2 linked regions of the Macaca fascicularis genome follow. The protein of the gene in region 1 purifies or fractionates together with the protein of each later gene. This does not show direct contact. Links are inferred from orthologs where the notes say so. Each region holds a gene or a part of one and is shown in the gene's direction. Other genes may lie near its edges.

Region 1 (3,306 bases):
TCTCTTTCATTAAGCCTTGAAAAAGCTGTAATGACTTATACTGGCAATCTTAAGGCTTGAAAAGATGCTTTTTCACTTACATTGTCAAGATGATGAAAGCAATTTTTAACAATTTTTTTATACACAGAAATACAGAGAAAAACATGAACTCATTGTGTCTATTAACTGGCTTAGATAATTATCAACATGTGGCAAACCCTGTTTCATCTGTATCCCCCCCGCCCCCCAACTCTTTTATTTCAACTGAAATACATCAGTGTGTTTCTCTAAAAGGTAACAGCTTCTTTTAAAAAAAAAAAAAAAAAAGTCTCAGTATCTTTATCCCATCTATAAAAAATAACAATAATCCCTTAATATATATGAATATGTATATATGCAATTGATATTTACATTTCCTTTATTATTTTATTGCCTTATAATCTCTCAGATTTCCTTTGATATATAAATTCCCCTTCTCCAGCTCTCTCTCTCTCTGTGTGTGTGTGTGTGTGCGCGCGCGCGCGTTCCTTGACATATTTTGGTTGAAGACATCGGGTGTTTGGCCTGTAAAATTTCTCACATATTGGAATGTTGCTGATTTTCTCTACATGGTGTCATTTAACATACTCCACTGTCCTCTGTGTTTCCTGTAATTGGTATTTAGATCTGGAGAACTGATTAGAGATTCAGGTTTGGTGTTTTGTTTTGTTTGGCAAGATTGTTCCAAAGGTGATATTGTACACTTCCCTCACTTATATCTCTTTCCGTGATTTATTTGGCATGATGATTATTGCCCAGATTTATTCATTAAGGGTTGCAAAATAGAGCTGTGTTAATTCTTTTAATATGTTCTTGTTACTTCTGTTGAAAACTTCCTCCTCTCCAACTACTCAATTACTTTAAGGTACAGATCATGTAGGAAAAGCAAGAGAAATACTTGATTCTTTCCCCTTATTAGATGTCAGTTTTCAAAATGAATTGGTTCCTAACATTTTCCAAAGGTGAACTCACTGATGTAAACACATTTGATGTGTTTCCTCCATTAGTTATAATTCTAATTGATGCAAAATTGTCTCATTTGTGGCCAATGGGAGATTATTTAAAGTAGTTGTGTGTTTCTTTGCTGCTAGTCTTTGCTTTCTGGTATGTTTGCATTTTCTAGGCTTTTTTTGGACCTTTTCTGACTTAGGAGTCACCCATTTCTCCAAGAAGCGCTGATTCCTTTACTATAATAGGAAATAGGTTTAGAAGCCAGAGTCTGGATGTTAGGAATGTCTCTGTTTCTAGGTCTTTTCAGATAAATTAGTTAGGATTTTTTTTTTTTTAAGAAAAAAAATATTGATTCATACTGATAGTTCCAGTTCAAATTCAAGACTTTATTGTTTATACTTTCTGTCATTGATTTTAGTCTTTTTCCAACCGTATTAAAAATATCACATCTTGGTATCGGAACATTCATTTTATTTACCCCACCATTCACAGACAGCAATCTCAGAATCACCATACTATCATCACTACCAGTAAAATAATCACTAAAAAGTGTTTTTTCTTTTTTCTACATTTATTTGATACTTACTATAAGTACACTAGGAATATACAGTCATTTTCCTGTGTTTTAAAGTAACTTGAAATCGTTTCTAAGTTTAGGTATGCCGATGTATAATTAGTGTCATTTTCAGCAACAGGTTTCTTTTTAACGTGTTTAATTTTGTTTTATAATAATATAAAAACACTCATGGGATCCATAATCAAATTTTCAGACAGTTATTTTCAAAGAAGTCTCACTTCTACCTGGTTCCCTCCATTTGTTTCTTCCCCAAAATGGGTTTTGTTTTGCTTATGATTTATCCTTTTTTTTTTTTTTTTTTTTTTTTGAGACGGAGCCTCACTCGATCACCCAGGCTGGAGTGCACTGGCATGATCTTGGCTCACTGCAACGTCCGCCTCCCAGGTTTGTACAAGCGATTCTCCTGCCTCAGCCTCCTGAGTAGCTGGGACCACAGGCACCTGCCACCACACCTAGCTAATGTTTGTATTTTTAGTAGAGACAGGGTTTCACCATGTTGGCCAGATGGTCTAAAACTCCTGACCTCAGGCAATCTGCCTGCCTCAGCCTCGCAAAGTGCTGGGATCACAGGCGTGAGCCACGGTGCCCGGCAGATACATCCTTTCATTGGCTTTTGTTCCCCTGTTTTTAAGAGAAACAGACATCTCTCTTTCTCTCCCTCTCTTACTACCTTTACCTTTCTTTTTCTCCTTTCTCTTGCCCTCATTCTCACTCTGGTATACCATTGGACTTAGAGGAAGGCTTTTTTTTTTCCCCCTAATAATTACCTGTTTATTATTACCTCTATATAACAGTCTTAGGCCCTTTCCCTTCCTTTTTGAGGCCCCTTGCTTCTGGTTCCCTACTGTGAGCAATGTTGAAGTTAGCTGGCCTCATGTGCCCTCCTTTCATTTGTTAATATCTGTAAGACAGTCAGGGAACTTATCTTATTTTTCCTATATACTTTTTATTTTCATCCATTTTTAGCCAGGCATGGTGGCTTATGCCTGTAACCCCAGCACTTAGGGAGGCAGGGGCAGAAGGATAGCTTGAGCCCAGGAATTTGAGACCTGCCTGGGCCATATAGAAAGACCCCATTCTCCACAAAAAGGAAGAAAGAAAGAAAAAAACAGGTATTTTCATCCACTTTTAGGTACTTATACTGTGTGTACATTGTCTGACACATACAGCGATTTAGTGCTATACTGCCTCCTTTTTTCTTTTTCTGTTCTAGTTTGATTTAGTTTTAGTTCAGTCCATTCAGTTTTAGTTCTATAACTAAATATATTTTTAATGATCACCACAAAATCTTAAGTCAATGCTTTTGTATTCTTTTTGTCTGAAGTTTATTCTCTAGTTATTTCCTCTGGAAGTGCTCATTCAAACAATATTTCCTGAGTTCTTGCCTGTTATTAGCAGTTTATGCATGAACTGTATATTTAAAGGTCATTTTGGCCAGATACACAATCCATGACTCATGTTTTCTTCTCTTAACTATCTTAAATATGTTACTCCAATGCCTATATAAAATGTTGCTTTCGATGTCTGATATAGTCTGATTTTCTTAGACATAAAAGTGACTTGGTTTTGCCTGGATGCTCAATGTGTATTTTCCTTTTCTTTAAAGACCAAGAGTTTTACCTAGACTATATTCTCATGTTGATAATTTTAAGTGATTTTTCCCAGGGATGAAGTTATGCTTTTTTGGTAGGTAGTTATTATTGTTTTATGTATTAGTCTGTTTTCATGCTTCTGATAAAGACATACCCAAGACTGGGAAG
Region 2 (4,535 bases), on another chromosome or scaffold:
CGCTGGGGTCAGTGGCTGGGGTGAAGGTGATGAGGAAGGGCTGGGACATGGCTTTTGGGAGAACTGAGAAAATGATACCAGGCAAGGGAAGGATGCGACAAGCAAGCCAAGCTCCTGGTGACTCTGTAGCAACCAGAGCCTCAGGGACCTGCTGGGATGAGAAAAAGTAGTCAAAAACACTTTCCTGCCGCTAAAGTGACCCCACAACTTAAGACTCTGCAGGGTCTAAGGGAGAGAGTATATGCGTAAAAACACGAAACCCTACAATACCGACTTTGCTCCTTAGTAAAGATTAATCAAACTCCATGAGACAGTCGTCCAGAGGTCCTGCGTCCGGCCCCCACCCCCATCCTTACCAACAATAAATACCAGCCTCTTTCTGAAATCACTTTCTCACCCCGTAAAACAGACATACCAGTAGGAAAAAAAAAAATCAAACCTGGCCCTTTAAGTCTTCCGTGATCCCATTTCGGAGTTTCCTCTTCCCAAACAAAAATAGACGGGTCACTCCCTAGAAGATCTCGGGGAGAGGCTCCTATACGTGTTGCCGTGTAGCTTCCGTAACGCAAAATGGCGCTATTCTGATCAGCAGAGTTGACACAATCAAATAGCCACACGGCACGGAGACGCATGCGTGGCGACAACAACAACAAAAACCACCACCCACATTACTTGATGGCTCAGGCGTGCGCAAAGCTCCCGGTTCAGTTTCCCGCGCTGGAACTTTTCCAATAGTAAACGAGCAAAGCTCCGCGCGCCCAGGTGGCGCGAGCGCTAGGATCTGTCGGTTGGGGTCCTACTTTTACATAACGCCCCCACAATGCCCTTCGCCTTCCTCTACGTGGCCCCCGCTCCAAGCCCATTTTCTGGAGCTAGGAATCCACTCTCTGGGTTAGGAAAGGCCCTCAGGAGGCGGAGGGAAACCTGTGGAATGCCGAGAAGCCGTGTAATGAAATAACGTCACGCCTGCCCCTCACCATTACTCTGACCAGGGTTCGAAGGTCACACTTAGAGACTAAGGGGAAATGGAGAAGTGCAAGGGGACGAGCAGAATGGCTGGCACCACCTCAGGTTAGCGCACTGGGCCGTTCTGGTTCTCACCCAGCCCAGCCCAGCCCAGCCCAGCCCAGCCCAGCCCAGCCCAGCCCAGCCCTCCCAACCCAAGTCCCTACGCACGGAGCCAAGCCGCACCTCTCGCCTCATGAGGCCGGAGCCCGGAGTAAAACAGAAGGCCCGTCAAGGGTCTCTGGCGGGACTGACTCGCACTAGGGGCCCAACAGGCAATAAGGACCCAGCGCATTGGCCAAGGATAGGCCAGTCCCCAGGGAAGCAGCACCGCGTCGGGACTAGAGGGCAACTGTGAGGAGAGCTGCGAGGAGGGGTCCAGCCTGGCTCCCTCCTTTCCCCGCCCTAAGTCAGCTTCTTCGCCCAGTGAGCACACAACTGTATTGCCCAGGCTCCCAGGCCCCGAACGCCATACCTGGTTTCCGCTTCCGGTGGCTTCTCGTTGCGCCCCGCCCGCAAGCGTCCTCCTCCGGGGCTTCGTGACAGCCAGGTCGTGCGCGGGTCATCCTGGGATTGGTAGTTCGCTTTCCCTCACTTAGCCGGTTTCTCTCTCTACCGGGGACTCCGCGTCCCGGCATCCACCGCGGCACCTGACCCTTGGCGCTTGCGTGTTGCCCTCTTCCCCACCCTCCCCAATTTCCACTCCCCCCACCCCACTTCGCCTGCCGCGGTCGGGTCCGCGGCCTGCGCTGTAGCGGTCGCCGCCGTTCCTTCGAAGTAGCAACTTCCCTACCCCACCCCAGTCCTGGTCCCCGTCCAGCTGGTGAGTCTGAGGTCTTCGCTGCTCCTAGTCGCTTGTCGCTGGGAGCCGCACATGGGTCTCCGCACTTTGATATGGGGGCGGGGGGAGGAAGCAACCAGGTCCGGCAAGGAGGGAGAGGTGGCTTGAGGAGCGGAGGGGGGATGTGTGGAATCCGGTGAAAGGGACCTGACAGTCGCCCCCAACCCTTGAGAAAAGGAGGCGCCCGATTCTTGCTTGAGAGTGATAAACTTGGAAATCCTTGGGAAAGGCGCCGGGGTCGTGCAGAGACTTGCATTGGTACGGAGCCTGAGTCGAGGTCCCTGCCGGAGTTGACACAGAGAAGAGAGGGCCCTGGCTTTCGGGAGCTCCAGGGACGTGGGTCGGGCTGGTGGGTCAAAGTATCTGTTGGCTTCTTTCAAGTGGTGGGACCCCAAAGAATGTTTAACGTCAAAGAAAAGGGAACTGAGATGTAAATTGGAGGAGTTGGAGAGGAGTGCTTCAGAGTTTGGGATCCTTTAAGAAAGGGTGGTTCTAATGTGGGAGGAGGGAGGATACCCGAGGCAGGGAAGGAGAACTTGAGCTTTACTGACACTCTTTTTTTCAGCTGACGTGAAGATGAGCAGCTCAGAGGAGGTGTCCTGGATTTCCTGGTTCTGTGGGCTCCGTGGCAATGAATTCTTCTGTGAAGTGAGTTCTCTTCGACCTCCCTACTTGCTGGCTTCACATATCTTCCCACCAGATGTTCCTTCACGTATTCCACTTCTACACTGTTCTCTTACATACTACTTGAAAACTTCCCATCAACGAAGAGTCCCCTCAATAACCCCCGACGAACCTGTGCTAAAGTGGCAAAACTGGGGCCCAAGTTTCGACTCTGCCACCCTCCAGCAGGCAATTTGTGTCTTTTTCTTTATCTTTTTTTTGAGACTGGGTCTCACTGTGTCGCCCAGGCTGGAGTGTAGTGGTGCGATCTCGGCTCACTGCGACCTCTGCCCCCCAGGTTCAAGCGATTCTCCTGCTCCAGCCACCCAAGTAGCTGGGATTACAAGTACCCGCCACCACGCCCGGCTAATTTTTGGATTTTTAGTAGAGACAGGGTTTCACCATGTTGGCCAGGCTGGTCTCAAACTCCAGACCTCAGGTGATCTGCCCGCCTCAGCCTCCCAAAGTGCTGGGATTACAGGCATAAGCCATTGCGCCCAGCCTGTATCTTTTATTACTAAAGTTGTACTGCTAGTACCTGTCTCAGCTGGCTGTTAGGAAAATTGAAATGCTACGTATTGAAATGTTTTGTTCAGAAACCATGCCGTTCAGCTTCCATCCTCCTCAGCCAGCTGAGAGGACAAAACTGGTTCCTAGAGATGGAGTACAGGAGTAGGGACAGAGATCTTGAAAAGAATGTCTAAGAAAAAGATTGCTGTACCTGCTTATCCTTAGAAAAGAAAAGCCAAAGCTTTATGGGAGGGAGTATAGGTGAACTAGGGAGAGACGCAAGTACTTCTGCTGAGTTGGGAGTGAGAAACAAGCGGAACAGATGCAGTTGTGTTGATGATAAGGCATCAGTTAGAGCATTTTGCCCAGGTCAAAGATGGGGATTTTGATATGGGTTCCCTCTTGGCTTCCATGTCCCAACAGGTGGATGAAGACTACATCCAGGACAAATTTAATCTTACTGGACTCAATGAGCAGGTTCCTCACTATCGACAAGCTCTAGACATGATCTTGGACCTGGAGCCTGGTGAGGCACCCTCAGGGTTGTTTTGTGTGTGTGCATGCACTTTTTTTCTCTTCAAATCTATATTCACTTACTTGAATTTTGAAATTTCCTTTGGTTCTCTGATTTCTTTAACCCCAAATTCATGCTTTATTTTGATCCTCCACCTGACTGTGTCTAGTTTTGTGACGTATATCACTTGTTCCCATGTTTTCTAAATCCACAATTCAGATGTTTTCCAAAATATGTTTCCTCATGGGTCTGGTTTGCTATTTCTCCTGCTTTGCACCTTCCAGTCTAGAGTTTCATCTTTTGCATTGACATTGTTGCAGTTATGTATCGGGGAGGGAGCTGGGAGGGAGAGTGGGGAGCGGAGGCTAAAGAGGTGTGAAGAGAAGACAGAGCTGTCTTGGGTTGGCGCAAGGGTCAGAAGCCCAGGTTTCTGGGTCACATGCCCAGATGTTGGATGGGGTAAGGCCCAAAAGTAGGTGCCAGGCGAACTGAATAGCCCGCACCCCCTGGATATGGGCAGGGCACCTAGGAAAGCTGAAAAACAAGTGGTTGCATTTGGCCGGGCTGTGTTTCAGATGAAGAACTGGAAGACAACCCCAACCAGAGTGACCTGATTGAGCAGGCTGCCGAGATGCTTTATGGATTGATCCACGCCCGCTACATCCTTACCAACCGTGGCATTGCCCAGATGGTGAGGCCTCTCTGCTCCTAATTGCCTCCTTCTGAGCAGTAAGGGACACAGGTTCCTGCAGCAAGAAGTCATGTTTAAGCCTTGTTTAAGGAAACTGGCTGAGAAGAGGAGAAGAACCCCAGGCTTGGGCCTGGGAATTGAATTCTGATTGGGGGTCATCCTGAAGGGATAATTTTCAGGGAGGGAGACAGTCCTTGAACAGAGAGTTGTGATAGACTGCCTCTTCCTCAGGGAACAAACAACAAATGGCTCTGATGGTTTGTAGCCTGCCTAACTGGAAGAAAGGCAACATAGGAGTTTGAGAGCCCATC

Evidence for each region.
Region 2: the proteins of GPATCH2 (region 1) and CSNK2B purify together in Homo sapiens (co-immunoprecipitation; 3 studies listed by BioGRID and IntAct, with this or other methods). This does not show direct contact. The link is inferred for Macaca fascicularis from reciprocal best matches to the Homo sapiens genes GPATCH2 and CSNK2B.

The regions. Positions count from the first base shown.
Region 1 is NC_088375.1:75,290,071-75,293,376, reverse strand, and holds the end of GPATCH2 (G patch domain-containing protein 2), read left to right. Parts: intron 1-1,856; coding exon 1,857-2,280; 3' UTR 2,281-2,655; downstream 2,656-3,306. UniProt on the Homo sapiens protein: Enhances the ATPase activity of DHX15 in vitro.
Region 2 is NC_088378.1:140,054,111-140,058,645, reverse strand, and holds the start of CSNK2B (casein kinase II subunit beta), read left to right. Parts: upstream 1-1,725; 5' UTR 1,726-1,828; intron 1,829-2,411; 5' UTR 2,412-2,422; coding exon 2,423-2,494; intron 2,495-3,442; coding exon 3,443-3,545; intron 3,546-4,108; coding exon 4,109-4,224; intron 4,225-4,535. Other genes in the region: GPANK1 (G patch domain and ankyrin repeat-containing protein 1), read right to left, coding at 1-49. UniProt on the Homo sapiens protein: Regulatory subunit of casein kinase II/CK2.